2 linked regions of the Oryctolagus cuniculus genome follow. The protein of the gene in region 1 binds, or shares a complex with, the protein of each later gene. Links are inferred from orthologs where the notes say so. Each region holds a gene or a part of one and is shown on either strand. Other genes may lie near its edges.

Region 1 (4,450 bases):
GAGTGAGCGGCCCGGGGCCGGGCGGCGTCCGCCCTCCGCGCGCGCCACCTCCAGGCCTCTCGGTCCGCGCCCGGCCCAGCCCCGGGTGGGGGCGCCCAGTGCGGCAGGCTGACGCGGCCCGCTCGCCCGCAGCCATGCTGGCCGTGACCGGGGCGTGCATGGTGCTGGCGACCGGCTTCGGCATCGTGGCCACGGTGATGGGAATGAAGATTCTGTGCCATCAGGGGGAGTCGCTGCGGGGCCAGGTCACGAGCGCCTTCCTCTTCCTCGCCGGTGAGACGGCGGCGGCGCCCGGGGGCGGAGCTGGGAGGGGTGGGCGTGGCCTGACAGACGGGGCGGGAGGCCGCGGGGAGGGGCGTGGCTGGAGGCGTGGGCTGGACGCGGGGGCGTGGCTGGAGGCGTGGACGGGACGCGGGGTCGTGGCTGGCGGAGGGGCAGGGCCCGGGGCGGACGGCGAGGTGTGGGCGGGACGCGGGGGCGTGGCTGGCGGAGGGGCAGGGCCCGGGGCGGACGGCGAGGCGTGCGTGGGCCCGCGGCGGCCCCACCTGCGCCTGGCCACGCTCACCCGAGGCGCTGGCGGGCCGGCCCAGGTTTGCTGCTGCTGATCGCTTTGACGGGCTACACAGTGAAGACTGCCTGGAAGAACGACGTCTTCTTCTCCTGGTCCTATTTCTTGGGGTGGCTGGCTTTACCCTTCTCTATTCTCGCGGGTAACCTGGGCCGCGGGGAGAGGGGACACTGCCCTGGGACGCCCCGCCCTCGCCAGGGCCCGACCCTAGCCCCGCCCCTCCTTGGGCCCCGCCCCCGCCCAGCCCCGCCCCCGCAGAGCTGGGCAAGCCGCGCGCCCCCAGCCCCCGCACTGGGACCCCCTTCCCCTCCGCGCCCCCGCCTTCCCGGCCCCTCCCCCACCCCCGACCCCGCAGAACTGGCCGAGCCGCGCGCCCCCAGCCCCCGCACTGGGACCCCCTTCCCCTCCCCCGCCTTCCCGGCCCCGCCCCCACCCCCGACCCCGCAGAACTGGCAGAGCCGCGCGCCCCCAGCCCCCGCGCCGGGACCCCCTTCCCCTCCCGCCAGGCTTCTGCTTCCTGCTGGCGGACATGATCGTGCAGAGCACGGACGCCATCAGCGGCTTCCCGGTGTGCCTGTGAGCGCAGCCCGTCCCGACGCGGAATAAAGGAACGGATTTCGGCCACGCGGCTCCGCGCGCCTCTCGGGGGGACAGGGCCACGGGGGGCGGGGGCCGTGCACGCGGCTGACCTGGGGTCGTCCCCCGGGGTCACGGGTACAAAGGGCGCGGCGACTCGGAGAGGCGGGCAGGCGGCCGGCCCCCGCACGACCTTTCCCCTAATTTCCCGCCACGCCCCCTTCTGGCCACGCCCCGTCCCCCTCCCGCTCCAGACCGGCTCTCCGTGGGTCCGCGTCCGCTGGCCACACCCCTCCTTACCTCCGGCCTCCTGATTGGTCACCTTTCCGGGCGGGGCGCGGACTGCGCAGCCGCGGAGTGGCGGGCGGCGCGGCGCGCAGGCGCAGAGAGGGACGGGGGCGGGGCGTTCGGGCGGGGAGGTCCGGGGTGCCGCCGGCCCCGGCCGCTGGCTGCTGCGGGAAGATGGCGGAGCTGCGCGCGCTCGTGGCTGTCAAGAGGGTTATCGACTTCGCCGTGAAGGTGACCGGGGCCTCCCCCCTTCCTGCTTCCAAGTGGTGCCCCGCGGCCGTGGGCTTCCGGGATCACGAGCGCGCCATGGGCGGGGGTCTGCTCGTAACCCCTGACCCAGTCGTCAAAGTCACGGGCAGACGCCGAGGACTGTGAGGTCGCGACCCCGTGCACACTCTCCCGATGACTGTCCTAGCGGCCGGAGCAGCCACGAGCCTTGCTTAACGCGGGGAAACTGAGGCACGGCGCGCCCACCCGGCCGGGGAGGGCCAGGGCCGGGGGTCCCGTCCACGACCCCCCGGTTCTTCGCTCGGACTCGGCGCGTGGCTCCGAGGCGAGCTTTCTGACCGCAGCCCCCGGAGTGTGCAGACTGGGGGGACCCCCAGAAGCCGGCGTTCCCCGTCCGCGGCCCCCGGGGGTGAGCGCCAAGGCTCTGGCTGGGGAGGGGCCGACAGGGGTGAAAGGTCAAGCTTGGGGGTGGTGGGGCAGGGGCTTCAGGTCCCCAGAGCCCGGCTTGGAGGCGGGAAGCAGCCCCTCCGTTTCTCTCAGTGCTTGGCCTGAGCTGCCCATGTGGCTCCGCTGTGCCAGCAGCGCGGGCGCTCACCTCTGGGTGCCCCCCCAGCCCGTCCCGGGGCGCTGAGGCCCACTGGGGCCCTGTCTTCCCCAGAGCACCCAGCCAGGACAGAAACCCAGCCAGGCCAGCCCAGCTCCGGACCGCCTGCCGCTCCCTCCCGGGCGTGGGCCAGGGCTGAGTGGCGCTTCTCCAGGGGTCGCGCGACCCCGCGCTCCTGCTTGGAGCCCCCCTCCCCTGGACTCCTGCAGCCCCCTAGGGCTCCCTCCGCCCCGGGCCTGGGCGCAGGTCTGTCTCCACTCAGTCAGTCCGGCACAGAGCCCTGCGCACGGGTGCCTCCAGCGTGTTCGGCCCCGCCTGCACCTGCCTGCACCTGCGCCTGCACACTGCCCCCCTTCCATCCCGCTGGGCGTGTCTGTCGACGCCCCTTTCGGAACAAACAGGGGATCCAGACACTGCAGCTACCGGAACACCAGGCCTGGACGCCGTCCACGCCCCTCCAGGGTCCTCTCTACCTCCCCTGGCCCCTTGCCCTAGTCTCCTCGCACACCCGCAGTCTCTCCCCTCAGCCTGGCCTTAGGGATCCCGGCGGCCCCGCTCAGGCGGCCATGTCCCCTCTGGGACCCTCACCCCACCTGCTCCTCCTTTCCCTGGCTCCGGCCCCCCCTGCTTCCGGTCCCAGCGTCACCACCTCCAGGAAGCCCTCCATGCACCTCCTCAGGTTACTGAGGTGTGTCTCAGGGCCCCTGCAGAACCCTGGCTTGCCTCTACCGCCCTCCCCCACACACACCAGGCCCTCGTGGCCACACCCACCTCCCACCCCCAGCCTGGCAGCTGTTGCACTGCTCACCCCGTCGTCACCTCTGTGGGGCCTTCCGTGGTCGTGGTCGCCTGCTTGAAGCCACAGCCCCAGAGTCCCCCCCCCCCCCCCCCCGCCGGACAGTGGAATTTACTCCCTACTGCTTTAGTGCCTGTCCCCTTCCTCTGGAATGGGCAGTGGCAAGAGGTCGTGGGATGTGTTCGCCGCTGGCAGGTGCACCACTGGAAACGGGACAGTGCGAGGCGCGTGCTAGGTGGTGGCTGGCGCTGCTGGAGGCCGCGGGGGACACTGTGGAGTCGCTGAGGGCAGGTGCCTCTGTTTCCCGGTCCGAACGGCCTCTGCCCCCCTCGGGGCTCCCGCTCTGGCCGTGTGTGGGAAGGCAGGTGCCTCTGTGTTTCCCGATCCGAACGGCCTCTGCCCCCCCCCCCGGGCGTGGGGCTCCCGCTCCGGCCGTGTGTGGGAAGGCAGGTGCCTCTGTTTCCCGGTCCCCACGGCCTCTGCCCCCCTCGGGGCTCCCACTCCGGCCGTGCGTGGGAAGGCAGGTGCCTCTGTGTGTTTCCCGGTCCCCACGGCCTCTGCCCCCCCCCTCGGGGCTCCCGCTCCGGCCGTGCATGGGAAGGCAGGTGCCTCTGTGTGTTTCCTGGTCCCCACGGCCTCTGCCCTCCTCGGGGCTCCCGCTCCGGCTGTGCGTGGGAAGGCAGGTGCCTCTGTGTGTTTCCTGGTCCCCACGGCCTCTGCCCCCCCTCGGGGCTCCCGCTCTGGCCGTGCATGGGAAGGCAGGTGCCTCTGTGTGTTTCCCGGTCCCCACGGCCTCTGCCCCCCCCGGCGGGGGGGCTCCCGCTCTGGCCGTGCGTGGGAAGGCAGGTGCCTCTGTGTGTTTCCCGGTCCCCACGGCCTCCGCCCCCCTCCCCGGGGGGCTCCTGCGGCACCCCCTCCGGCCTGTTTTCTCCAGATGTCTCATGGGAAGGTGTGCTGGCTGCCCCTCCTGCCCCCGCGTGGCCCTGGCTGCTGTGCTGGCTCTGTGCCCCAGCACGTGGCCGGCCACGCACAAGGACAGCCTGCATCCAACCCAGTCCCTGGGGGCTGTGTCCAGGGTTCGAGAAGAGTTGCCAGGAATCTACAGGGAGCCTCCTGGACACAGGGCAGCCGGTCCCGAGGCCCTGTCCTCCCTGCCGGGGCACGCTTGGGGACAGACCGCAGGTGTCGTGGCCAAGGCACATGGCCTTCCTGCCCCTCGGTCACTCCATCTGAAGTGAGGGTGGGACGGGCAGTGGCCAGCCCACAGGCCTCCAGGTGAAGCGATTAACATGCCACAGCACTGCCCGCGCGGGCCCTGGCTGCTTTGGGTACTCCGAAATAAACGAGACCAAAAAACCCAAAAACCCTTCTTACCGATTCTCAGGCCAGC
Region 2 (3,796 bases), on another chromosome or scaffold:
AGCTGCTGCCAGGAGCCCGAACTCAATGAGCTGAGCCATTACCACTGCCTCCCTGGGTCTGCATTGCAGGAAGCCGGAATTGGGTGTGGAGCTGGGGTTAGGATTTAGTGACTCTGATACGGAATGTGGGCATCCAAAGCAGCAGCTTGACCACTGTGCCAAACATGCACCCCTACGTCTGTTACAGAACTGAGTATTGTGTGCAAAATAGTTTCCTTGCAAGCACACACTCCTAACAAGTATCAAAATTCTTTTTTTTCTTTCATTTTTTCCCTCCGTTTAGGCCTCACTGCTGCGATTTCAGAGTACTCTGGTAATAGCCGAACACGCGAATGACTCCCTAGCACCCATTACTTTAAACACCATCACTGCAGCCAAGCGTCTGGGAGGAGATGTGTCCTGCTTAGTGGCTGGAACCAAATGTGACAAGGTGAGAAATTTTTAAGGTCAGCAGAAGCAAATGTAATCTCCATCAAGAGACAGGGAAAGATGGCAACAGAGAATTATGCCAAAAGGACTGTAACCCAGGCAGGGCTATAATCCTCCTTAAATGGCCAGCGTTAGAACCGTTAGCTGCGTGTGAGAAAGGAGCTAAAGGGTGTGCTACTAAGCATTTTCTTTTGAAATGAGGTGGGAAGCTTGATTGAGTTCCGTTGGCATCATCGTGTGCCATCAGGTACCCTAGAGTGATACTGTGGGAGTCCTCTCAGAGGTTAATAGCCAACTCCCTTTCTGTATGGATGAATATAACTGCTTCTAATTCCCAAAAGAGGTAAATCTGAACAAAGTGTCGTGGGTATTAATTTTTACTTAGTGGAACAACTCAAAAGCAAGGTCTGTCTTTACCAAATTATAGCTGGTACTAAAAGATTCTCTTGGTTGTTGTTAAATATGGAAACCACAGCTTTGGAAGCCAACCCCCAGAGGTGCTGTGACCCCTGGAAGGCGCAGGGTCTGCATCCCCCTGGAGGTGCTGTAACCCCTGGAAGGCACAGGGTCCGCATCCCCCCAAGAGGTGCTGTGACCCCTGGAAGGTACAGGGTCTGTATCCCCCCCAGAGGTGCTGTAACCCCTGGAAGGCACAGGGTCTGCATCCCCCCGGAGGTGCTGTGACCCCTGGAAGGTGCAGGGTCTGCATCCCCCTGGAGGTGCTGTGACCCCTGGAAGGCGCAGGGTCTGCATCCCCCCAGAGCTGCCGTAACCCCTGGAAGGTGCAGGGTCTGCATCCCCCCAGAGGTGCTGTGACCCCTGGAAGGCTCAGGGTCTGCATCCCCCTGGAGGTGCTGTGACCCCTGGAAGGTGCAGGGTCTGCATCCCCCCAGAGGTGCTGTGACCCCTGGAAGGCACAGGGTCTGCATCCCCCCAGAGGTGCTGTGACCCCTGGAAGGTGCAGGGTCTGCATCCCCCCAGAGGTGCTGTAACCCCTGGAAGGCACAGGGTCTGCATCCCCCCAGAGGTGCTGTGACCCCTGGAAGGTGCAGGGTCTGCATCCCCCCAGAGGTGCTGTAACCCCTGGAAGGCACAGGGTCTGCATCCCCCCAGAGGTGCTGTGACCCCTGGAAGGTGCAGGGTCTGCATCCCCCTGGAGGTGCTGTGACCCCTGGAAGGTGCAGGGTCTGCATCCCCCCAGAGGTGCTGTGACCCCTGGAAGGTGCAGGGTCTGCATCCCCCCGGAGGTGCTGTGACCCCTGGAAGGCACAGGGTCTGCATCCCCCCAGAGGTGCTGTAACCCCTGGAAGGCGCAGGGTCTGCATCCCCGGCTGTGGTATAGATGAACACTTCAGTTAGCTTACTGAGCTTGAGCCACCGTTCCCTCTCACTGCAGAAGGGAGTTGCCCACTGTGTGGCTGTGGCCTTGGACTTCATGGAGGGATTGTATGTGGAGAGAATGTTCATTAAACTAAGGTGCAGAGCCTGTGGTACATAGGTTCCCAGGGTCAGAGTTGCTTCTGTAATTCCTTCTGTGAAATTTGCATTTTAAAAGAAGGTGTCCTTGCAGCAGGTTTAGGGTTAGTTATGTGGATTTGTTTGCATCGTTTCTGTTAACAACTGTTGAATGTTATGTAGTTGATGTTAGGCATGATGTGTGATGGTATGACTAAGCTATCTTTTCACGGTTGCTTCATTTTCAGATATATACAGATTTTGGATTTGTTTTGCTATGATGTTAAATAATTATCCTATCACTTTGAAATATTTGAAATCTGCTTAGTTATAATCTTGTTATGTCATATTCTAATCTTAAAGCGACCAGAACCTGTATAAAGATGTTTGTGATACAAGCAATTTCAGTTTCCCACTGTTTCTTTAGCCATTTATCATAAACAGCAAGTGATTCTTCTGTATAATGCTGGAAGTTTTTGCCAGTTAAAAAATGTTGAGATTGGAAAAATTCTGTACGTTTTTGTATCCTGCGCTGCTATACAGCTACTTGGGAGTGAACTGTGTTTCTTAGTTGGAAATTCTGCTCGAGTTAGAGAAGCTAAGTACAGATGTAGCCATAATAAAGGGCCTCTGAGCCCCGACCCACACTGTGTCCATCTTCGGTGAGAATGGCTGCCACTTTGCAGTTCATGGAGAGGGGCAGGAGGCATGGCCTTTCATGCCCACTCCTCGGTGAATCAGCCTGAGGTGAACAGGGAGACAGAAGGCAATAATATGACTGATGGGATTGCTGAAAGAGAAACTGGTCGTGCTGTATTAGTGGCGTTCTGTGTACAGAGGCTGAGGCGTCAGAAAGCTCTCTCAGTTCCTCATCCTGATTCCAAACAAGGAAAGCGAGGAATTAAAATGGGAAATATTTTGCTTTGTCATAGATACATATATGAGGGTATATCAAAAAATTCATGGAATAGTAGAGTCGAAAGATAAGTTCATTCTGTTGCAAAAAAACATTTTTGAAACACTTGCATAGTTTTTTAAAAACTCTTTGAAGATTCCTCATACGCATGGACTTCAAAATTTTTTGCACCAAAATAAACATCTTTTAATTTCATTTCCCATGAGCTTTATTTATTTATTTATTTATTTATTTCCTCATTTTATTTGAAAGGCAGAGACAGAGAGCAAGACCGGGACAGAGAGGGCATAGTTCACTCCTCAGCGGCCAGGGCTGGGCCAGGTGGAAGGAAGATGGTATCTCAGATTTCAACCCATGTTTCCCACCTGGGTGGCAGGACAAGTGCTCACACCATACCTGCTGCCTCCCAGGAAGCACTTCAGCAGGAAGCTGGAATCAGAAGCAGAGCCAGGACTTGAGCCAGGCACTCCAGCATGGAGGCATCTTAACTGCTGTGCCCAAGCCTGGCCCTCTGTGGGCTTGTGAAGTTCCTCGTATGTTTGTGGGCAGGACTCTGTACTTGACAGGGGTCGTTTACGAGCGTTAGGTTTTCTGTCTTGCTCAGAGTTAAAAATTTTAATATCAGCGGAAATTGTTGTTGTCAAATAAAGCGCGGTAGAGTACAGGATGGTTAAGTCTGCTCTTTCCCTCCAGGAAAACCTAAGTCTGAAATGTCCTAGGCGTGTTGTTGGGAGACAGAGAACTCATTTTCGCCATTTCTGAAGTGATAAACTTACCTTGCATTGAATCAAAGGGAAAGAACACAGTCCACAACTGAATTTGAGTAAACAGCCGTACCCACTTTTGTTGATCGGTTAGCACTGTTTTTTTTTTTCCAAGGCAGAAATTTTTGTTAAAATCTTTTTTAGTAGCGCTATGTAAAGTCCATAGGTACTAAAATCAGTTGATGTAAGATTTTCTTTGTTGCAGAATTAAAAATTCCTTGGTAGGTTGTTC

The links.
Region 2: the proteins of ETFB (region 1) and ETFA are in contact, whole or in part, in a crystal structure (PDB 2A1U), measured with the Homo sapiens proteins. The link is inferred for Oryctolagus cuniculus from reciprocal best matches to the Homo sapiens genes ETFB and ETFA. Residues at the interface, in NP_001976.1 of Homo sapiens: Ile14, Tyr16, Val18, Ile20, Val22, Val29, Thr31, Phe41, Leu102, Arg106, Lys124, Gln125, Ile127, Asp128, Asp129, Asp130, Cys131, Asn132, Gln133, Gln136, Met137, Ala139, Gly140, Phe141, Asp143, Trp144, Pro145, Gln146, Thr148, Phe149; in NP_000117.1 of Homo sapiens: Glu27, Leu88, Pro89, Glu90, Ser113, Ala114, Phe115, Lys117, Asn118, Pro121, Arg122, Ala124, Ala125, Lys126, Glu128, Val129, Ala130, Pro131, Ile132, Ser133, Arg146, Thr147, Ile148, Tyr149, Ala150, Gly151, Asn152, Ala153, Leu154, Cys155.

What each region holds. Positions count from the first base shown.
Region 1 is NC_091449.1:6,947,497-6,951,946, forward strand, and holds the start of ETFB (electron transfer flavoprotein subunit beta), read left to right. Parts: upstream 1-1,514; 5' UTR 1,515-1,606; coding exon 1,607-1,663; exon of another isoform or gene 1,664-2,069; intron 2,070-4,450. Other genes in the region: CLDND2 (claudin domain-containing protein 2), read left to right, coding at 1-2, 133-273, 591-710, 1,075-1,148. UniProt on the Homo sapiens protein: Heterodimeric electron transfer flavoprotein that accepts electrons from several mitochondrial dehydrogenases, including acyl-CoA dehydrogenases, glutaryl-CoA and sarcosine dehydrogenase.
Region 2 is NC_091443.1:106,917,522-106,921,317, reverse strand, and holds part of ETFA (electron transfer flavoprotein subunit alpha, mitochondrial), read left to right. Parts: intron 1-283; coding exon 284-430; intron 431-3,796. UniProt on the Homo sapiens protein: Heterodimeric electron transfer flavoprotein that accepts electrons from several mitochondrial dehydrogenases, including acyl-CoA dehydrogenases, glutaryl-CoA and sarcosine dehydrogenase.